Linked DNA regions of Diceros bicornis minor. The protein of the gene in region 3 binds, or shares a complex with, the protein of the main gene of each other region. Links are inferred from orthologs where the notes say so. Each region holds a gene or a part of one and is shown on either strand. Other genes may lie near its edges.

Evidence for each region.
Region 1: the proteins of MAPK8 (region 3) and ATF2 are in contact, whole or in part, in a crystal structure (PDB 6ZR5), measured with the Homo sapiens proteins. The link is inferred for Diceros bicornis minor from reciprocal best matches to the Homo sapiens genes MAPK8 and ATF2. Residues at the interface, in NP_001310257.1 of Homo sapiens: Asp112, Ala113, Gln117, Val118, Met121, Glu126, Arg127, Tyr130, Leu131, Tyr133, Val159, Lys160, Ser161, Asp162, Cys163, Val323, Trp324, Asp326, Ser328, Glu329; in NP_001243019.1 of Homo sapiens: Phe36, Val44, Lys48, Met51, Thr52, Leu53, Lys54, Phe55, Gly56, Pro57.
Region 2: the proteins of MAPK8 (region 3) and DUSP16 are in contact, whole or in part, in a crystal structure (PDB 4YR8), measured with the Homo sapiens proteins. The link is inferred for Diceros bicornis minor from reciprocal best matches to the Homo sapiens genes MAPK8 and DUSP16. Residues at the interface, in NP_001310257.1 of Homo sapiens: Arg189, Val196, Ile197, Leu198, Gly199, Asp229, Ile231, Trp234, Gln253, Thr255, Val256, Thr258, Tyr259, Val260, Asn262, Arg263; in NP_085143.1 of Homo sapiens: Phe215, Leu267, Asp268, Tyr271, Lys275, Pro279, Ile281, Ser282, Pro283, Asn284, Phe285, Asn286, Leu288, Gly289, Gln290, Leu292, Asp293.

What each region holds. Positions count from the first base shown.
Region 1 is NC_080749.1:55,976,099-55,983,845, forward strand, and holds the start of ATF2 (cyclic AMP-dependent transcription factor ATF-2), read right to left. Parts: upstream 3,171-7,747; 5' UTR 3,037-3,170; intron 1-3,036. UniProt on the Homo sapiens protein: Transcriptional activator which regulates the transcription of various genes, including those involved in anti-apoptosis, cell growth, and DNA damage response.
Region 2 is NC_080756.1:48,331,490-48,339,314, reverse strand, and holds the start of DUSP16 (dual specificity protein phosphatase 16), read right to left. Parts: upstream 3,171-7,825; 5' UTR 2,716-3,170; intron 1-2,715. UniProt on the Homo sapiens protein: Dual specificity protein phosphatase involved in the inactivation of MAP kinases. Dephosphorylates MAPK10 bound to ARRB2.
Region 3 is NC_080745.1:12,136,843-12,144,160, reverse strand, and holds the start of MAPK8 (mitogen-activated protein kinase 8), read right to left. Parts: upstream 3,159-7,318; 5' UTR 3,077-3,158; intron 1-3,076. UniProt on the Homo sapiens protein: Serine/threonine-protein kinase involved in various processes such as cell proliferation, differentiation, migration, transformation and programmed cell death.

The DNA of each region.
Region 1 (7,747 bases), on a different chromosome or scaffold from region 3:
AGTCTCTGTGGTAATAAGCTTCTACTACTGTTGGGAGTGTTTTCTATTCCTTAGGTATTAAGACAGAAAAAATGGTTGAGAACCACTATCTTTGTTAAGATACAGAATGCAGACATGGGTGAACAGGCCTAGCCCCAAAAGCATTCTGTTTGTTTACATCACTTCTTGTTGCAAAAAATGTTTTTAGTCACTTTACTACCACTGCCAAAATGCCAAGAAGAAGAAAAAAAAAGCATCACTAGACATAGTACATAAAAGGTAAATGAATATACCAGTTTTGAGGTTATTAAAAAGAATAAATGAAAATAACATATTTAACAAATGCCTGTATCTATAATTATATAATTACAATAACATATATTTATAATAATATATGTAAAGTAATTCCAATTATTGTTGGCCTTAAAGATCCACAAACTTTCTTAAATTTCTATGAAACTATACCTTACTCTAACTTTGTAACCTTGAACTTAAAAAACAGAACAAAAGAGATAAAATGTTTCATGGGGTTTTCCCCTAGATATAAATAGGTGAATACTATCACTAGTACCTCATCATTAACAATTTAGAGAGAATTAAAGAGAACATGCAGCAATTTAGATACATTCTTAGCCTCAAGGAATAGGTGTGAGTATATGATAAACACAGAAATACTAAGTTAAACTACTGACTATAATAATGCACATTTTTTTACAGTACATTTTAATTACACAGAATAGCATAACAAGTACTGTATGTACTGATTTTTATAAGGATTAGTTGAATATCCAATTATTATTATTCCCTGGGTTTTAAACAAGAGACTTTCTGGGGAAAATTTGGTTTTAAATAGGGAGATTTCAACTACTTTTTCTTCTCTAAGGACATTACAATAAGAATATTAAAGAGAAAGAATTGCTTACAGACATATTTCATATTGGAAGGAAGAGCTTGAAGACAAAATGAGTGGAAATAGCATGTATGGGGGACTGTTTACCTGATCTACATTTAATTCACCAGCAGAGAACATATAAATCATTAAAACCCAACTTTTCCAAAATACAAAAATTTAGGCAGAAAAAATGTAGATGATTTCTTGAGAGTTAATGCTAGTTATAGGTAGATGTTTGATGTACAGCATATCATTTTTTTAAATGATATTCATATAGCTTTCAAATCCTGAATAGCAACAAAAAGCATACCTCCAAATTATTTGTTAAAGAGCTGACATGATCATTTCTACTGTTATCTTAGTTTAAAAATATGAAACAAATACTCTAAGTAAAAAAAGTAAATTCAGGAATTTCTGAATTATATATTTAATAGATAATGATAATGCCCCAAATATGAAATACACCTTCTAATAAGGTATTTAAAAAAGAACTTCCAGGAAATGCAATCAGATCCTCACCAGGAATTATCTACCTTAAAAACACACCTACAAAAGTCCCTGAAAGCTCCTGTCCTACTAATTAAAATACAAACCCTACTTTCTAAATTACCACAATATTATACTTCAAATAATTAAAAACCTAATGGTAGTCGCATCCTCTCAAAGCAAGATTAAACATGTCTTAGGCATGCAGCATACACACCACTGTAAATTTGGAAGATTCTTATAAGTCACAAAGACTAGGATTCTTAATTGTTACTCATTTATTGACGGCCTTAAAGATTCACGAACTTCCTTAATTCTCTTTCTTGATCTGCAGAAGGACATCTCTATTTTTTGAGCATACTTTACAACTATGTGCCTGCAGTTTTGAAAAAAGTGTTCAGAGTGGATTCCTCAAATCAGTATAACAAATTTTATTACAAGATATAACTGCTACTGTCTGTGTCCTTCAGGACACTTAACCCTGTAGGGCTATTTAACAAGCTTCTCGCCTTCATAGTTTTGGTACAACAGACCAAGGATAAATAGCTATTTAAAGATTACACCTAGAAACGCTATTACTGACAATGCCGGCGGTTATGAATTTCTTCAAATGGGACAAAAAAGTGTGCTTATTTCAAATATATACATTAAGTTTATGCACTGCTACCGTCTCCATTATTTAAAATTCCTAAGAAACTGTTAACTTTCACATTTTAATTGAGGAATTAGTCAGTAGGCCTAGGGTCCATCAGGAGTACTCCCTTTTACTCCATCACATTCACAGTAGTTTTGATCTTGGCCTCACCAGTTTTAAGACTCCTTAAGCAAAGACAATTTCATACTACCTAAGGGCACAAAAACAGTTCCCATCTCCTCCGCCCTCTCCCTCCTTCTAGCGTCGGTTCCACGAGCGAATATAGATCTCTGTCCCTCTCTCTGCTCTGGTCCCTACAACTAGCTCTGCAGTCCACCCAGGAAGGTAAAAGAATGGGGGAAAATACTAGAATCAATCTGCACCCACACCTCAGCCCCGCCCACGGGGATAAAGCGGGGGTGGCGGGAGTGTGAGGGGGCAGAAAGGACAGAAAAGGCCGAGAGTTCTCCATACCATTTGTTCCATCACGTTTCACCGCAGCCAGAGACCCTGACCCTATTTCCAGCCGCGCCTCCGGATCCTCCTCCCCGCCACCATCACACACACACACAGTCCCCAACGTCTGAGTCCTGGGTGCGGAGACCAGAGCCGGCCCTCTTCCTGCTCAATCCAAGGACTGCAGAGAGGGTCTCCCTGCGCCCTCGGCGCATCGACGTGTGCCCTAGGGACCTCTGAACTGACCGGAGAAGGGGAAGATCAATCGGGAGGAGGGGTCTAAGAGGAGCCGTTATTCCCCTTTCCTCTTCGTTAGGAAAGCGCGCGAGCGGGGAGGGGCCGGAACAACGAACGCGTTACCTAACGGTCCGGCCCGGCCAGTCGGGCTCCTGAAGGCGACGCCGCGCCGGCCGCTGAAGTGCCAGCTCAGCCACAGTCGCCTCGAGGGTTAGGCACCGAAGCAGGCGCGCCCGAGGTGATAGGAAGCGGGGGGTGGGGACTATGGTGAGCGACGTCGCCATGTTAGTGCCTTCTTTCTCTGTATCCCTACGGTCTCCAGTCCTGCGGCGCACTCCCCATGACTACTCACCTCTCTAGGTCACTAGTTCATGCTTCTTTCGGTCACCGGCGAGGCCCGAGCTCAGCCGTGTTTACAAACTACCCGTGGAGGAAAGGCTGAACCGCACTTTAAAGGCCACGGGCTCCCACAGGCTTCCGTCCTCTCTCGCGAGATCGGACTGACACCTCCTTCTCCCCGCCCCACTCCCGGCATCCCCCCTTTCTTCTCGAGTCCCTGCCCTCCACGCACACGCCGCTTCTTGTCTTACTTCAGACGAAGCGCCTCCGGGTCAAGCGAGTCCGTCAGGTTTAAAGGAGGGGGCGGGATTTCAAGGGGGCGGGGCTGAGGGGGCGGGAACCAAAGAACACTCGGTGCTGGTGATTGGACAACAGCTCGAAGGGCGGGAAGCAGTTCTGGAGGGGGCGGGACCAGAGCGCCTTGGTCCTCCGTAACCAAGGACCTGCGGAAGCCTGTGATTGGCAGCCGCTTGAGGCGGGCGCTGGAGCAGGTGGATGTTGAGGTCGCCGGAAGGGCCTGACGGTGTGCGGGAAGGGAAAGTGAACTCTAGGAATGCTGCTAGTGGCGGGAGAGAAAACGGGACGAGTCCTCCGAGTCCCTCCCCGGGAGCTCGGTATTTCCATTGCTGTCACGTCCCGGCCCTTGTAGGAAGCCGGGTAAAGCGTAGGGAGGCGCGCGCCTAAACCCGTCTTCTGGCTACCCTGCAGCCCGAGAAGGGGAGCTTCGGTTAAGCTGAGGTTTGGAAGAGGCGGAGTTTACCGGAAATTATCCCCCAACCCCCGCTACACGCCCAAAGCGGGAAAGCAAGATAAGTCAGTTCTGAAAAGAAAAGAAAAAGCCATTACTCTGAATGGCATTTGTTCGAATTTTTCTAAACTGTAACGGGACTGATTCTTCCGGCTTCTAAACGCCTAGTACCGTGTATGATATTAGCATATAGTTATGTTCTAAGTAACTTACCAAAAGGAAATACAGTGACTTCCACTAGATTACTGTAATTTAAAATAGCGCAAGGCTTGTTTTTAAGAGAAAAATCTTCCATATTATGGTGAATCCTATTTTATCAATTTTCGTTTACTTAGTAGTTATACATTTAAAAATATCAATTTTAGTAGAGATAGTTTCAAACCTTTAAAACATCCACAACTCTGTATTAACATTTTAGAGAGGACCAAAGGACACCAAATTAGACTATGGCATAGAAATGGCACTCTTTCCACAATATAATGCCAATGAAATGTCTGTGAAGCTTTGAAAGTAGCTCTTTGAAAAAAGAAGGAGGGGGGAGTTTATTTGGTTAATTTAACCTGAGGGACAAAAAAGACCATATTTACTACTCTGCAGTTGACATAGAGACACTCCTAAAAACACAGAAAGAAGTACATTGCTGAAAATGTTTCTTCTTAATGTTGCTCTACGATTCTCTATACAACTTAAAGATTTCAGTGTTAAGTGTAGGGATATTGCTTTTTCAATAAATACACACTGGCACAAGTTGAAAAGTATGATCAGGAGCCTCTGTGGAAATTTGCATTAACTATTAAAAAAAAGGCAAGTTGGGCCAGCCCCAGTGGCATAGTAGTTAAGTTCAGCATGCTCCACTTCGGTGGCCCAGGTTCGGTTCCCGGGTGTGGACATTTACGGCTCTGTTAGTGGCCATGCTATGCTGGCGGCCCACATACTAAAAAATAGAGGAATATTGGCACAAATTTTAGCTGAGGCTGAATCTTCCTCAGCCAAAAAAAAAGCAAACTTTTTTCAATGCCTTGTTTTTCCGTTTATTAAGTGCTGATTTCTAGTCTATAACAAGATTATGAATAAATTTTGTATATTAACATAAAATGAACTCTCAAACATTATCTCCAAACCATGGTGAAACTGAAATTATTGGAAGATTGTGGGGGATAGTATTTGAGAGTTAATGAACCTGCAGTTCAATAATGGTATCTGGCATAAAAATGAAATTGTAATAGCACTGGACGTTTTAACAGGTTTCTGGCCTGTATACATGTATGTGAGCCAACTCACACCTCTTTTAAAACTAATTTCGTTACTCAAGAGACCTGAAAGAAGCCAAATATTAGCTCTGTTTACTTCTCAAATTAGAATGAAAGTACTATCCCTATATATTAGTAAAGCTGTAGTAGTGCTTAGTGTAGTGTAGCACTAATTATTTAGCACTAATTATTAAAACCTCAGCAGCTCAGATTACTGATGATGAACATGATGATGGACAAAATGTGCGATTGACAGATCACAAAATTGTTAGGTCTAGAATGCATTCCCTAAAATGGTGCTTCTCTCCATCCCCCAAAATGTCTACTGTGAGATGAAGAACTATAAATGTTATGGCATTTAAAATTAGAGTAGATTTTTAAAACTAATTATTTTCCATTCTCTTATGTCAAAAATTTGAAAGTCTTTTCTCCAGTTTTGGTTCATTTTCAGTTGGCAGTTGGTCTGGTTTTTAATTTCTCCTCCTCGTCCCTTCTTCTCCAGTCTGTTGTCAAGTATGCTGTTAATTATCTACATAATGCTCTAGAGGAATATGTTATTTTAAAGAAAGTCTTGGGCCGGCCCCTTGGCTTAGCGGTTAAGTGCGCACGCTCCACTGTTGGCAGCCCGGGTTCGGATCCCGGGCGTGCACCGACGCACCGCTTCTCCAGCCATGCTGAGGCCGTGTCCCACATACAGCAACTAGAAGGATGTGCAACTATGACATACAACTATCTACTGGGGCTTTGGGGGAAAAAAAATAACTAAATAAAATTATAAAAAAAAAATAAAGAAAGTCTTTCAGGAATCCTTTTAGATGAGAGAAGAATCATTTAGTAATACAAATAGTACTCTGTTGTGAGAATGCAATTTTGGCTAATTTTCTAAAGAGATGGTATACCTAAAATAAGAAAATATAAAGGAGATTAGGGGAAAAAACAGGTGGAGAGGAAGCAAATCTGTTATATATGCATGTCGGCAGCCTGTCAGTTAGCAGAGGTCCTGACTTTATCTACATATTTCTAGTTCCACAACAGTTCCTTTACTGTAGCTTTTCTCAAATGAAGAAAACATTCAGTGTAAACAAAATGAATATAGTTACTATTTTCAGTTCTGATCCTGTGAACTTGTAAGTCTCACTATTTATCCACATCTCATAAAAGGCTTTGCTTTTCAGTTTTTTCCCCTTGCTTCCAAATTCCTCAATATCCCCAACAGCCCTAAGATTCTCTAGAATCTTCTCTTTCAAAATGCAGGAAACTTCTTCCAGACCGCTTCTTTGCCTGTCTTATTGTTCCAAACATGCATCTACCCAACATTTGTTGTTAGTGCCATTGAGTTGATTCCGACTCCTAGTGACCCCATGTACAGCAGAGCAGAACCCTGCCCAGTCTTTTTGCGCCATCCTCTCACCTTCTGGCACTTTATCAGACAATGCTCTGCTGCTATTCATAGGGTTTTTGTGGCCAATTTTTTCAGATGTGGGTGGCCACATTCTGCTTCCTAGTCTGTCTTAATCTGGAAGCTTCACTGAAACCTATCCACCATGGTATTTGAAATCCCGGTGGCATAGCTTTCAGCATCACGACAACATGCAGCCACCCCAGTATGACAACTGACAGACAGGTGTTGTGGTTCCCTGACTCGTAAATGAACCCGGAGCCTTGGCAGTGAGAGGGCCGAATCTTAACCACTAGACCACGACGGCTGGCTCTACTCAACTTACTCCTAGGAAAATTAGTGAGGATCTGGTGAACCTCCTTTAAGAACCCAGCATGACTTCTGAATAAAACTGGTATTCCTTAGATATAAGAGGCTATTTGAAGAAAACTCATTTCTATTGAAAAAGTATCCATTACCAAATACTACAAGAAACTATAGTGGCCTCTAAATGCTCTCAAACCTTCCAAATGCCACAGAATGTGGCATTTCCACTTTATTTAGAAGTACTATGTGATTGTTAATCCATCAATCTGTTATTGCTCATAAAAAGTCTACTTAGCAGCGTCTGTGGAAAACACTATGGAGATATCTCAAAAAATTAAAAATAGAAATACCTTATGATCCAGCTATCCCACTTCCGGGTATTTATCCAAAGAACTTGAAATCAATAATCCAAAGAGGCTTATGCACCCCTATGTTCATTGCAGCATTATTCACTATAGCCAAAATGTGGAAGCAACCCAAGTGTCTGTCAACAGATGATTGGATAAAGAAGATGTGGTATATATTTACAATGGAATAGTACTCAGCCATAAAAAAAGACAAAATTTTCCCATTTGTAACAACATGGATGGACCTGGAGGGTATTATGTTAAGTGAAATAAGCCAAACAGAGAAAGACAAACACTGTATGACCTCTCTCATATATGGAATATAAACTAACACATGGACAGAGAGAATAGTTTGGTGGTTACCAGGGGGAAGGGAGTTGGGGGGTGGGCACAAGGGGTGAAGGGGCGCATTTATATGGTGACTGACATAATAATGTACAACTGGAATCTCACAATGTTATAAACTATTATGGCATCAATTAAAAAAAGTGCTTAAACGCTGTGCAAATGTATATATAGAAAAATGGAGTGAAAAGGGAAGATTTAATATATAAGACATAGCTTCTGTTTGTCTGTAGCTAAACAAAACAGCATACTCCAGGGCATCCCTTATGTCTGCTCTGGACTCGGGGAAAGAGCCTGTGCATTTTCGCAGGCATCCTCAAGATGCAGCC
Region 2 (7,825 bases), on a different chromosome or scaffold from region 3:
ATTTACCTTCTTATGTTTTTGCTTAAGCCAACATTAGTAACATTTTCTTTTATGATGGTAGATATCTGTCTCAGTTTTAAATTTTGATAGTTAATTAAAAAAAAATTAATCAAGTATCAATTGTGGCTTTTCCTATGAAGCCTTTTTAATTAGTTTTTTCAATCTGTTGAACTCTGTCATAAAATCTGGTTTCTGTTTCTCCTGATTTATTTCCTCCCTTTTCTCGGGATTCTGATCCAAATCAGCTTATCCTATATTCATTTACTTCTTCAATTTAAAGTATCATTTGCTTGCGAACGCAAAGCATTTTAAAAACATTAAAAGTCCAGGGAAATTTTTAGTCCAAATAACACAGGATAGAAAACTCCACTTTTTTTAGGACTCCAGGAAAAGTTGGTTTGTAGGATAAATTACACTAGTAATTCTAGCAAATTATATTTAGTAGGATATTACGATTGGTTGAAAAATAGGAAAACATTAATATTGGACAGCCATCTAAGTCAGTTTCATCAATATATAATCCCATAGGCCAAAAACTCTATGGAATTAAATTCCCAGTACAGGCATTTATAGCAAATAGCATCAAAACAAACTCACACATAAATCCTGGCTCTTCTCCTGACCCCAGCCTAAACTCTGCACCCATCACAGCCAACCCTAACCTGACGTCAGCCTCACTTCCACAAATAGGTTTTAAATGTATAAGAAAAAGGAAAAGAACTAGGTTAACAGGATCTTCTCTTTTGCCCCCTTTTCAGTTACTGCCATTAAAGCTTCTGGGCAGAGAGACCCCTTATCTTCAATTTTACATGACTATTTTTACTGTATAGGTACTCCATTATTTTACATCTGAATGTAGGTTTATAGTGCTTGAACCGACTTTTTTCCATACACTATTCATCATATTACCAACAGAATTAAGGATAAACTCACTTTTAATTTTTCCCCCACATGGAACTTTGATAAGTATAAATGATTTTACCTAAAAACCAACTTGTAGGCTGGGTGGTGTTATTTAGTCTAAATTTTTACATAAGATGTTAACCAAATAAAAAAAATCTTAACAGCAACCTTCCACACAGTCCTCAAACTCAGTAAATTCCACTTTATTTTGAAAACACAAAAAACTTGCACAGTGCCCAGTCACATTTTGACTAAAATACCTACACAAAGCCATAATTCTTAGTTTTTCAATTTACTTCTTCAGGTTGCTGCCTTCACCAAATACAAAACTCTACAAGTCTCAATTAATTACCGCCTCTCAAGCTGTGTATCGCCAACATCCATGATTCTCAAGAAAAAGTAAACAATTTAAAAAGTAACAACTGGTGAGAATTCTTTTTCTTATTTTAAAAATTTACCTTAACTTTAAAAAATCTCTTTTCTTCACGGAGTTGGAAATAGTATAAATCCTCGAGGAAACAGTTGTCACCTATGTGCACTCTCAATCAGCCCCATAAAATGCGTAGCAGAAAGACGCATTTTTCTGACAGTCTTAAGTTCCCCAAATAGCAGTCATAAGGTCTTTCATGGATGGTAAATTTCACACACACACACCCCGGAAAGAAAGACAAGAAACATACCTGGTCATTTTCTAAACAGGTTTGATAGGTTTGGTTCACTTGTAAGAGGAGAGTATTTACTTATAATCTTTTAACACAGAAGTAGCAGCCAGAGCACTGGGTAAATAAAAACTTCAGAGAGTTTTAAAAACCCTGCATCTTAACTCACTTCCCCCTGGTTCAAGGGGACGGCACAGCAAACCCCACGGCAAATGAGATTATGCAACAGGTTTTTCCTCTCCCCTTTATTCATCCCAGGCTGGTTGGAGGTGTGCTTACTCCCAACAATTTGAGACACCCAGGACTTGAGGATCTTTGCAGCTGACGTCTAATAAACTTTTTCAGGATTTTGCACTATCCATTCATTTTAAGATCTACTTGTATTTTCTCAAATTAATTACCAGGTTTTTTTTTTTTTTTTTAGGAAATAAACTCAGCCTTTCATAAATACTTTCCTCCCTGGTGTTTTATTACATAAAACTACACATGATAAACAGACGCTCGGCTGTCTCCCCGGGCTTTTTTATTTCTCACGTTGTACGGCTAGTGTAAATAAAGAAGTCACTGGCGCACCGGGCCCCCCAACACCATGCCTGGCCCCAGCATGCAAACCGAGTTTTTGGTTGGTTGGCTGGTTTGGTTTAAGAAAGCAGCACCGTCACCACCCAGGTGGCCTCGCTGCTTACACCAAAGGCGAATTGGGGATAATGGGAACAGTCAGGCCGGGGCCCCACTTGGCAGGAGTGTTGTGTAACAGTCGCGCCTGGAAGTGAGCAGCTTCGCCCGCGAAGGGACCGCGTCCGCGGCGGCGGCTCCTCGCGGCGGGAACCGGCCGCTGGGCCCGCTGTCCGCCGCGCGGCCGGGGGCGCACGGACCGAGACCCCGCGCCCGGCTGCCCGCCCCCTTCCCGCTCGGGCCGGCCCCCAGCAGGGCCTACACCCCCGCCTCAAACGCTCGCGCGGCTCCAGGCCGCGGTCGCCCCCACCCCGCCTTCCGCGGAGGTGAGCCGCCGCCGGGGAAGGCAGAGCCGGCGGGGCGAGCGCGCGGCGCCGGGCACCCGGAGTCGGGCGCGCCGCGGAGCGTCCATGCTGCCGCCGCGAGCCCCGCACCCTCCCGCCCGCACGGTCCGCGCGGCCGGCCCGAGGCCACTTACTTTGGGGGCCGCCGACCTCCCGACGCCGTCTGGGGGAAACGAAAGTTGTCACGGCGTCTCCCCTCGGGCCCCCGCGCCTCCCGGAGTGGCGAGGCGCCGCCGCGGAGCCGGGAGGGAGGCTGCGCTCGCGCTCGCGCCCGCGTCCGTCCCGTCGCGCTCTCCTCCTCCTCCTCTTCTTTTCACTATATTATCTTCTCCTTCTCTGCGAGGTGGGTGGGGGCGGGAGGCTTAGGCAGAGAAGAGACGTTTGCAACTTTTCTTTACTCTTTCTCTTCCACTACCCCCCCATCAGCCTTGAAAAAACAATGTTGAAAGGGGTGAAGAACTTGGGGAGGTGAAGGTGGGGGGCCGCGTGGGGAAAGCGGAGGGGGGAGGGAGAGGTGATAATAATCGTTTAAAAACTGGTGAAAGCCCCCCAAACAGCGATACGCAGAAAGAGGGGGAAAGGCGGGGGGGTGGGGTGGGGGGTTGGGGGGAAAGAGAAAGAGTCGCTGGTCAGGAAACTTCAAGCGCGGATGAGGTCATTGGTTTAAAAATAAAGAGATGGCGTCACTTGAAACCAATCCCAGTGAATGAACTCAGCGGAGCCCCGGGGAAAGGAGGAGACAGGCGAGGGCAGGGCGGTGGGCGCCGGGCGGGGCCGCGCGGCCGCCCGAGCCCCGAGCGCGCCTCCGCGCCTCGTTTGGGCAGCTCGGGGCGGGCTCGGGTCACGTTCCGTTCCAGAGTTCGGCGACTCCGAGGCAGGTTCCGCAGGCGCCGCTGGGAGGAGCCGGGGCTGCCCGGGGAGGCGGCCCCACGGCCTCCTCCTTCCGCGCCCGCGCGCCCGCCGACCCGGGCCCGGGTCCTCGCCCCGGCCGCGCGCCTCCAGCGCTGCGCCCCAACAGGTATTTCAGGGTGCCCCCCACCGAGACGCAGAGCCTTTGCCTCCTCCTTGGGCTGTTGCCAGCTGCCTCCCCAGCGTGAAGAAACGCAAACAATTATTTGAGAGAGTTACAGTCGCTCTTGCAATAGTCTGACGAATCCAAAATGCAGGGCACTGCCATCTCCTAGGAAAGAGGAGTTACAGGTACTTTAAGAAAACTCACACGAGTGCTGTCAGGTATTCAGCCATCTATATGTGTTTGTTGTCGAAAGCCCCCACTTGAATATTCCTAACTTCTATTATTTTACTTTGCATATATTTACAGATTTAATGAGTATGGGCAGCCTAAAATTCTCTTTAAAAATGTTTTCTCCGTCGGGCAGCCCAGAAGCATCTTGAAATCAGACCAGAGGTTCACTGCCTCTTGAGAGGTGCAAGACCCAGTTGATTTAACTCCACACGCTTCGTGCGTTTCTTATTTGGATTCATTAAAACAGCTTTGTTTTGAGACTACATTACACACTCTGGAAACCTAGAGACCTGAGGTGGTGACAAACCAGGACTTGGAATCGCTGAATAGGACAATCAGAGCTTTATTCTAGTGTTCTTTGAGCATTTGAGCATGAAGCTGCTTCTACTGAGAAGTACTCACGTGGATATCACATAACAAAGATGTGATTAATGACGGAAAAGCACACTGTGAGCGGACTGCTCCGTGAGCCAGAATTTATGTGTAGGAATAACCTAGCTCCTAAAATATTCCATTTGCAATGTACTGGATTTGGGACGTTGGTCCCTAACGGCATCTTTGTTGCCGAATGTCCATTTGGACACTGCCTGAGGAACTTTTTTAATTGGCAAAAGAACTGAGAAGCAGGTTTAGGGTAGGTTAGAAAGATAAAAACAGCTCCATGCTTCTTTTCCGCCTTTAAATCCCGCAACGGAAGGGCATTCGTTATTATTGACCATCATTTAAGATTAGTATTGGGGTAAGCCTCTGGGAACTTCCGGCCCATCTTTTGGAGAAGGAGAAAGAGCCCATCTGGAGACCGGAGACTGCTGAGCACTTCAGACTGTAAAAGCAGTCTGAAGGCCATAGATGCAGAGCCGATGTTCTGCGCCTGCCTTTAACCTCTTTAAGACTGCTGAGGAGAAGCAATCTCTCCGGCTGCCCCCTGTCCTCTGGTGGCCAGGGTTGTTACTGCAGCTTCAGTGAGATTTCCTGTGCTCTTCGAGTAAACCTCTAAAATTCTGCTAACCGTGGACCTGCTGTTTTTAGAACAGTTTCTAAGAGGCAGTTGGAAAGGATCTGCATCTCAAATCTGCTTAGTTGGAAGAGTTGCATTTGGCGGGAAGGAAGGAAAAGAGCGAGAACCCTTATCCTAGAGGTTGAGAGCATGGATCTTGCCTGGATGAAAGACTCAGAGAATTATGGCGCACCCTTTACATGCTGCAGCTTAGTAGCCTTACTTTGACACATCTTGACATCTCTCTCCCTTCTCTTCATTTATACAACAATTAAATTGTGCCTTACATGTATGTGGGGCTATGATAGCTATTATGGGAGCCTCCCCAGTGTATATCATCTAATTAGGGAAACAAGACATAGATTAAAACTAATTAAAAACTAAATTAATGATTGATGGCATACAGTACTGGTTAAAAGAGTCCAGCGGATGGGCCGGCCCCGTGGCTTAGCGGTTAAGTGCGTGTGCTCTGCTGCTGGCTGCCCGGGTTGCGATCCCTGGCGAGCACCAACGCACTGCTTCTCTGGCCATGCTGAGGTGGTGTCCCACATACAGCAGCTAGAAGGATGTGCAGCTATGACATACAGCTATCTACTGGGGCTTTGGGGGAAATAAATAAATAAATAAAAGAGCCCAGCAGAGACAAGGAGCATTGTAGGCTGGGGTTGTCAGGGAAGGCATCTTCTCAAGAGCTTTGACCTCCTCCTTGAAGGATAGTTAAGATTTAGTTTGGGGTCAAAGGGCTCAGTGGAAGGACTATTCTAGAGGGGGAATGGCACGAGCAAGGGTATGGAGATGGAATGAATAGGTGTATTCAGGTGAGGGACCAGTAGACCCTTCTAATAGTAGTAGAGATTAGAGTATATCAATTAAGAATTAGGCTAAATTTAAGAGATTTAGAGGCACATTATGGAGTACTTGAATATTAGGATAAATAGCTTGTTACTAGTCCAGCAAGTTAACATTGAACAAGTTTACTTCACTAAAGAGTACATTTCTCCTTGTTCTACTAAAAGACTTTCTCTATATGCTAACAACAAACATGTGGAAACAGATTAAAAATGCAATAAATACCATTTACAGTTGCTCCAAAGAAAATGAAATATTTAGGTGTAAATCTAATAAACCATGCTCAGGATCTGTATGCTGAAAATTATAAAATGCTGATGAAAGAAATTAAAGAAGACAGATAATTGGAGTGACTTACTATATTCATGGATTGGAAGAACCAGTATAGTAAATATGTCACTTCTTCCCAAATTGATCTATAGATTTGACACAATTTCTATCAAAATCCTAGCAAGGTTTTTTGAGGGCATAGACAAGCTTAACCAAAACTACTTCCAGCATGTTTAAAAGGGTGAGTGAGGGCCAGCCCCGTGGCTTAGTGGTTAAGTGAGCGCACTCTGATGCTGGCGGCCGGGGTTCGGATCCCTGGCGCGCACCGACGTACCGCTTCTCCGGCCATGCTGAGGCCGCGTTCCACATACAGCAACTAGAAGGATGTGCAACTATGACATACAACTATCTACTGGGGCTTTGGGGGGAAAATAAATAAATAAAATTATTTAAAAAATAAAAAAATAAAAGGGTGAGTGAGGGCTAGATTCCCCAGAGGCAAAGAGCTCACATACTTAGGGCACCAGCAAACCAGGGGCTCCAGTGTCTTTCAATCGGATAATCTAGAAAGAAGCTCTTTTCGTTTCAGTACATTTGAGTGTATGGTTTAGTATTGTTTTTAGTTAAGTTAAATTTGGGGGAGGAGCACCAAAATTTTTACTTAGAATTAAATATGAAGGAGGAATGCCATAATCTTTAGTGCTTAGAGCTTCTTAAGGTTTTAATCCATCCCTGGCTGAAGTTTAATCATTCATTCAACAATTATTGAGTGCCTACTACCAGTATATAATTATTGAGTGCCTACTACCAGTATATACCTGTGCCTGGCTTTGAGAATGTGGTTATAAATAAGAGACGCAAGGCTGCTTCCTTCGTGGAACTAACATTCTAGTGGGGATTGAAGACAATAAGCAAACAAAATCAACGGCCAGGACTGTGACAGGATTAACTATACAGGGGGAAAACTGGGTGATGTGAGGGCAAATGATTGAGGGTAGGGGGGAAGGAAGGCCTTCATGAGGTGGGGACATGTGAACTGAGGCCTGAAGGATGGCAACCAGAAAAGGGTCTGGGCAGAGGAAACAGGTCACTCTGAGACTCTTCAGCAGAAACAGAGTGACTTGTAGAGAGTTAGTGTGTTCCCAGAGCACAAGGGAGGCTAATGCAGCTCAAAAGTATAACATGCGGGCCACAGGAGCCAGACTATGTAGGACCTTATAATGCGTGGTAAGGAGTTTGCATCCTATTCTAAAAGAGTAAGCAGGTTAGTACATGATCTGATTTATGAGGAGGATATTTGTAAGTAAGCATAATAATTTAGTTTTGAAAAGAGAGTGTTAATAACTTTCTATAAATATTTAATTTAGCAGCTCCCTTTTCCAAGAGGAAGGAAATATTTTTGATCATTTAATCTCCAGGGATCCCTTTACTGTCCCAAATCCAGTGTTCTTAGCCAAGGATTCATGGATTCCTAGGGAGTACATGGATGGGCTTCGGAGGGCGTAGCAGCCCCCTAAAATTTTGTGAATATTTGCCTATGTGTTTTTCTGTGAGTGGATCCCTAGCTTTTAACCGATTTTCAAAAGATTTTCTCACACACACACAAAACGAAGAAGACATTTTATATTTAAGTCTTGGCTGTGCTTTTTGGATCGTAGTTGCTGCTACTGTCCTAGGGCTCATGGCACCATAAAAATGAATCACAGTTCTGGAAAGAAGCAAGTTCTGCCTCAAAGAGGTGACACTATGTTGGAGGAGAGCAGTATTTGTGACGGAGTAGGAGGGAGCATTCCAAAAGTTTGTCTACGAAGGAACTTCATGGAAGAAAAATTTTACCTATGTAATGTGAGAATTAGAAGATACCTAAGACTGGGCTGGCCCC
Region 3 (7,318 bases):
ATATCTAAAGTTATGTGGCTATAATGATTTCCTTGTACCACATGAATCAGAAAAGCTCCTCAACCAGAGACCTCTAAAGAGCTGGCCTCTTAATGTCAGACATTTTATACTTCCACACGTGCAACAAAGAATCTCAACTATCTAGATGACTCAAATTTGTCAAACTCAACTCACTGGCAAAGCAGACCAACAAGAGTCAGGCTTCTATTCAACAACCTCTTAATAACCACTAGGAAAGCTGGTGACCAGATACTTAACAACAAATTACTTCAAGAAGTTTCACTGAGCCTTGAGTATCTTCACAAGGTCAATTCCATAATATTAAACATTGAGAAAATAGTTAAGATTCCAACCTCATTAATTTTGGTAAAATTTATTCTTAAACTAATTTCCTTTCCAAGTGGCCTTTCTCCCAGGATGTAAGGTGGTATGAAGGACATAGTTTCCTACTCTGCCAGGACACTTAAAGGGAGTCCTTTTCAAATTCATTAACGGAATACTATAGTACTTACTAAGAGACTCAGTGCTATCTCTTCCTTTAAATATAATTTAGAGTGGAATGGGGAGTGACCGCTAATGGGTATAGGGCTTCTCCTTGGGGTGATGAAAACGTTCTGGAAAATGGTGATCAATGCATACCTTTGTGAACATATTAAAAACCACTGATGCACAACTAAAAGAGTAAATTTTATGGTATATCAATTACATCTCGATAAAGCTGTTATTTTCAAAAACCAACAGAATTTAGAAAACAAAACAAAAACTCTGGCTTGACATGTAGCCTGACAGTGAGCTACTGCCAAAGGACTTGTATCAGTAACTCCTACTGGAACCTGACATACCTTAATTAACCAGGTAAAGCAATAACAGTTTGGTATCTCAAGATTTTCATCCCTTATTTCAATAAAATATCATTTTCTTATTTATTTGTACTCTACATCAGATAACAAAGAGCTCACCTGAAATTCTCCAAAACACATGTCAAAATTCATTAAGTAGTGAGTAGAAAAGAGATGTAACTTGGATAAATCAAGTTATTATTTATTATTATTTATTAAATAAATCAATTATTTTGAGTTTTAGGCCCATATGCTTCATCAATGGTATGCTTCATCAATAGTATTAGTACAATGAAGAATTTAAAATTAAACATTACCAACAAACATTTCTAAAATGTTATTAGAAATTAAACATTTCTAATAAAACTTTTATGCAACTTGTTTCCTTTGTTCTAGCTTTTCCACTTAAAATACAGGAGTCATCAGAAACTTTTCAATTAATATTCACAAAAGGATAAATGCAATCATTTTAGACCCCTACTGAAATATCACTGTGTGTCTGTGTGCAAGATATATATGTATATGAATGCTATATATACATCGCACACAGATACACACATATTAAAAAAATTTTTTAGACAAGGTTTTATTTTAGGATTTAAAAGTATAGAATAGAAAAAAAAAAAATTGATACTGAAATGATTCAAAAGCCCCTACTGTCGTGACAGATAATACATATGAACTGATCATTTAGCCATCTGGAAGTAACAGTTTGCACAAGGCTTCCAAAACTTTACAGAGAACGTTAAACTTTTTTTTAAGGCTTGATTTGAAATACTATCAGTTGTAAAGAGCTTTACATTAACCTGACTTTTATTGAACACTTACTACATATCCAGGCTAGGTGCTGGAGGAGACACAGACGCAAGACAGGCCTGTCCTCAAGGAAGTCCCATTTTGATGGCTTGCTTTTGTCAGGCACAGCACTAAACATGTTCACTTACAGCATCTGACCTCCTAGGCTTAACCCACAGCAGGGGAATCTGAGGTAAACGTTACAAATCACTGTAAGGCTGTAAGACTGAAAAATTAAATTCGCAAATAAATAAAAGCTGTTGTACATTTAGACCAAATCTAACTCTACTTCCTAATATAACATTACACTATAAGTTCCAGATGTACTACTAAAAAATACTAAAATGACCCAGAGTATAACTATACCTTTTTTAACACACATCACTTACATAACCGTCTCATTTAAAGGCACATCTATTATATTTCAGTCAAAGCATCCTCTTCCACTAAAGGATATTTCTTTTTATCTTCAAACTCTCCATCTGAGTACAGTACGTACTGAACAGTTGCTGAATGAATGAATGAAATGATGTTCTAATTGCCGAGGAGGTATTTGCTGGATGCTCATCTCAAAACACAATGGACTGACACACCAGAATTCTACTGTAACGATTACTGAATTTCAGAGGTAAAAACAGTAACCACCGAACATCGTCTGATACCACGCAGTCAACATGTTACCAAGTTCACAGTAAACATCTGATAGAGAACTTGCAGAAATTAAAATTAAAAGTGTTCATCGCAATACTTTAAAACGGACTTGGTTCTACCACCTAAGGATTGGGAACACAAATGCAAGACAAAGAGGTCGGAGGGTGGGGTGAAAAAGTCAAAAGGTCACCACCGAGCGACCGTCCAGAGAAACGCCCGCTGACCACTGAAGCTCGCGCCGAGCTTGACGGCCACCCTTCGCCCCAGCCCCAGGCCCCGCTCTCCCTCGCAGCCCAGAGCTGAAGGCCACCCCAACCTTGTTCCGCGCCGCTGCTACGTTCGCTCAGAACGTCAGCACAAAGAAACCACCGGGAAACAAAACACGGTCCCCGTGGGCGCCGGGACCGGGCCACCGCCGCGGGAGGCACTAGGGCGCGGCGGGACGCCCCGGCGCCTCCGCCGAAGTACTTCCGAACTTGCCACCCACCCCCGCTCCCTTCTCGCCTCCCGACGCGGGCGCGGGACCCGCACAAGCAGGGCGCGCGAGGACCGGCGGGCGGAGCTGCGCGGCGGGCCAGGGTCCCGCAGCCCCACGCCCCCCGCCGGCTGCCGCCTCCCGGGCCGCTATTGTTCGCGCGCCGCCCCCGCCCCGCGCGCCCCCCGCCCCGCGCGCTCCCGCCCCCACCACGGGAGGGGGGCACCGCTGGGGAGAAGGCGGCAGCCGCGGCACAATAACATAAACACGGCGGGGCCGCGGGCCGCCAAGGCCCTACGACGGCCGCCGCACTCACCAGGCAGCGCAGCGAACGGCGACAGGAGAGCCCGCCGGCGGGCACCGGCGCCGTCCGGGCGGTCGCCGCGGCCGTTACCCAGCGCCGCTGGCCGCTCCGCGATCCGGGCCGCGTCGTCCGGCCTCGGCCGCTCCGCTGAGTAACAGGGACGCGGGCCGTCACCGCGCACGCCCGCCCACGTCATCGCGCAGGGCGCCGCCCCCACGCCTCGCGAGCGGCCCGCCGGGCGGGGCGGCCCCGGGGCCCGGATTGCGGGGCGGGGCTACTCTGGGGGCCGGGAGGACTGGCGGAGGTCGCCCGGAGGCGGAGCTGCGGAGAGAGCCTCTGAGGGCGGCGTGTGAGGGGCGTGGCGGGGAGCCGGAGGGGGCGGCGCCCTGCTCCCGGCACGTGGCGGCGCGTGGCCAGAGTGCCCGGCGGCTGGCCCGGGGCGGTCCGCTAGTAGGAGCCAATACCTCAGGGGCTCCTCGCCCCGGGGTTTGCAGGTGAGGTGCGCTTAGACCAAACTTGCTCGGAGGAGCAGACTTCCCGGCCCCGGGCGCACACCTGAGGGACGAAGAGCTCATTACCTTGACCAACAGTGTGGTGCATTCCGAAGACACCTGCGCAGGGCCCAGCAACCCACAAGCAAATAAATGTTCCCTTCAACCAGCTGGAAAAAGCTGCCTCTTGTTTTCCCAAAATCCACCTCTGGTGCAACCCACAAGCAAATAAATGTTCCCTTCAACCAGCTGGAAAAAGCTGCCTCTTGTTTTCCCAAAATCCACCTCCTACCAGATTCCATGCATTACGCTATTTCTGGACCCCACAAAGCGTGTAGATGTTGTTATAGAAGTGACACATTGGCAAGCCCTTAAATATCCAGCAATGAGTGGAAGGGTGTCTAAACTACATACATCTTGGCAATAGAATACATTTTAGCTATTTAAATGCCATGTGTTGGAGGAATTCTTAACAACAAGAGAAAATGTTCATAATACATCATTAAGAAAAAGAAGCAAGTCTATATATAGAGAGAATGATCCTACTTATATACTATATATACATAGAAAAAACCTGGAAAGAAATATGCCAAATTATTTTAACCATAGTTCATCATTAGACTGTGGAATGAAACGTAAATTGGTTCTCTTTTATCCTTTGGGTATTTTTCCATGGGTTCCAAATGGAACAGTTATGTTCATAATCAGAAAAATGTACATTACTTTAATAATGAATCAATAAATATTTATTGAATAAATGAGTGAATTCAGGTAGACTATCTTCCCATGTCATGTTGGGTTGGCCTATTTCCAGTCATTCTGAAATGGAACGCAAATGTGAGCATTCATTCATTCATTCTCTCCTCATTCCCTCCCTCCCTCTCAGGCTTCTTTATTTCCTTCCTTCCTTCCTTTATTTCTCCAATAAGTATTTATTGCATGCATTCTGTGCCAGGCACTGTGCTAGCACTGATAATAATATGATGAAGCTTACAGACTTAATCACTTTAATTTGGAAATAGTAACAGTAAACAAATGCAAAGTGATCACCTCATTATAATACAAATTGATATGGCTACACAGTATTATGAAACCAATTGATAGAATTAATAAAGCCAGGAAAGGCTTTCTTGAGGAACTGCCTCTTGAACTGAGAATAGATTTAACTAGGCAGAAAATATTTCAGACAGAAGTAACTTAGTGGGCAAGGGTCTTGTGGTGAGAGGGAGCAGGGTGAGTTGGAGAAATTGAGGAAAAGCCAGTGCTGCTGGAAGATCAAGGAAGAAGGAGCTATGAGATGAAGTTGGGAAGACTGGAAAGGGACCAAACCTAGTGCAGCCATACTACCCATGTTGAAAATCTTGTCTTTATCCTAAGTGCAATGGGAAGACCCTGACATGCTTCAGCAAAGGGGGTGGCATGGTCAGAATGGCATCTTGAAGATTCCATATTGGCAGGAGGCCAGGTGGATGTAGTAGTCTAGATAACAGATGGTAGAGGTTTGGTCTATGGTAATAGTCATGAAAACAGTAAGAGGAAAGATCTGAAGACCATTTAGGAGATCCAAAGCACAGAAGTTGATGATGGGCTATGTGGGCAGTGAAGGAAAGAGAGATATCAAGGAAAGCTCACAGGTTTCTGGCTTGCGGCCAAGGATAGATGTTGGTGCTGGTTCAGAGATGGGAATCTTGGAGGAGGACAAAGCTTGAGTGGAAAGATGGTGAGAGCAGGTAGTTTGAAGGCTTTTGATCTGCCCAAAAGAGATGCCAAGTTGGCATTTAGAGATACAGAGCTGGGCTCAGGTAGATAAGAGATGAATCATCGACAGATAATGATGACTTGAAGTCTTGGGTATGGATGAGTTAGCCTAGGCCTGAGGGAAAGAGGGTAGTGGGCAAGAACAGAAGACAGCCAGGAACCAAGCTTGAGGAACTTCAGCATTAAATGGCCATGAAGAGGATGAGCCTGCCAATGACCTGCCAGGGAGGTAGAAGGAAACAGGGATTCAAGAAGAAAGGAGTGATCAATAATATCAAATATAAGAGGAAGCTTGAAATCCTGGAGTAGTTAAAGCCAGAAGTGAATTAGAGTGGGCTGAGGAATAAACAAGAGATGAGAAAATGGAGGTGGTGGATAACTAGGAGTCAGGCAGCGAAGAAAGAGACAAGCCTATTTTACATCTGGTAGGAAGACTGTTGAGAGGGAGAGGTAGAATAGAAGGAATAAACATGAGTGTAAGTTTCCTGGGAGAGCGGGGTGGGGGTGTGATTGGGCACACAGGTGGAAGTATTGGCAGGTACCTCCCAGTCCCCACCAGGCAAATTAAAGACCTGGAGGTAACAAAAGACGATATGCTCAGAGCTGTTGTAAAATAAGAGGTGTTGCCAGAACAGAGCTCCAGAGTTTCCTGCCCAGGTCTGTAATACTATCAACAGCCTCTCTTTCATTCAACAGGAAGAACTTCTGATTTATTAGCTTCAGTTTACCGCTGTCAGCTTCCAATGATCTATACCTGGAAGGGACATCCCGTGTGTTTAAATATGTACATATGCGTGTGTGTGATTTCAGACAGCATTTCACTATTTGTGATTGAATGTAATCATCTCTGATATTCTACAAATTCAAAATGTTTTTTGTAACCCAGATGTGGCTCAGGGCCTCCTTCTTCCTTCTCACAGCGTTTTGCTTGTTACCCTATCGTGGTTCCCTGTGAACCTATTGGGGGCTGACTCAGAAAAGGAGGAAGAGCTAAGGAATTCAGGTTTATTGCCTCTTGTCCCAGGGGAGTTGTCTTGGGGACAGCTGGTCCTTGGGTCTCTCTGAGGCTGGGATGGGGGAAAGAGAGAAAGGGAGGCTGCAGGCCCCTTAAATCCAGTCTCTGCTGGAACCCTGAGAAATGGTGAGGAAGAGCTTGCACCCTGTCCAGAGTACCTCTTTCCTTGTCATCCTCCCCAGACCACATACACACACTGGTTTGCTTTGGGGTTGGGCCTTTGGCTAAGGTGTCAGTTGGACCTCACCAAGCTGTTCAAGGGTACAGAAACCGAAAGTTGAGACTTGATCTCACTTCCTAATTCCCTGACCTCACACTCCAGGTGTGGGGAGTCAGGGAGAGGGGGCTTACTGTAAGGCCTGCAGAAGGGCATCTCCGAAGACACACCCTCTCTCCTGACCCCATCTCCGCCAGAGCCCTTCTTCTTTAGCCTCGCTTTCAAGCCACCCAGTTTGGTTTCCCAACCAGGCCCCTGGTCAAGTCACCCCTCCCACCATAGGAAGAAGAGGTTCAGAAACTCAGTCAGTCACTCCCTGACTCTAGGATGCTCTTTGAGGCTCTTTCAGGGTAGAGCCTGTGGGCTCCAGAGGGAGTGGCTCAGGCTCTGGTTGCATGAGTAGAGGAAAGATGAGTGTTCATATTGCAAACTGATGTCTCCAACTGCAAGAACTATGACATTTCCTCAGGGGTAGAACATGACCAAAAATGACCAGAGTTCCTCAGTCACAACTTGAACAAAACAAAGTAGAGAGAGAGGTGGGTGGTACACTAATTTGAATTTACAAGTAGTACCCCCCTCTTTGCTTGGGCTTCCTCCTTTCCTTCGCTCTCCTATGCACACATCGCTTCTAGGTGCATGAAGAGAGACAACCCAGCTATTCAAGCCTATAGATTGAGTACACACGCATGTTCTCATGAAAAAAATGGTCAGCATTTATTCTTCTAAGACGGTGGTTCTCAAATTGTGGTCCCCAGAACAACAACATCAGC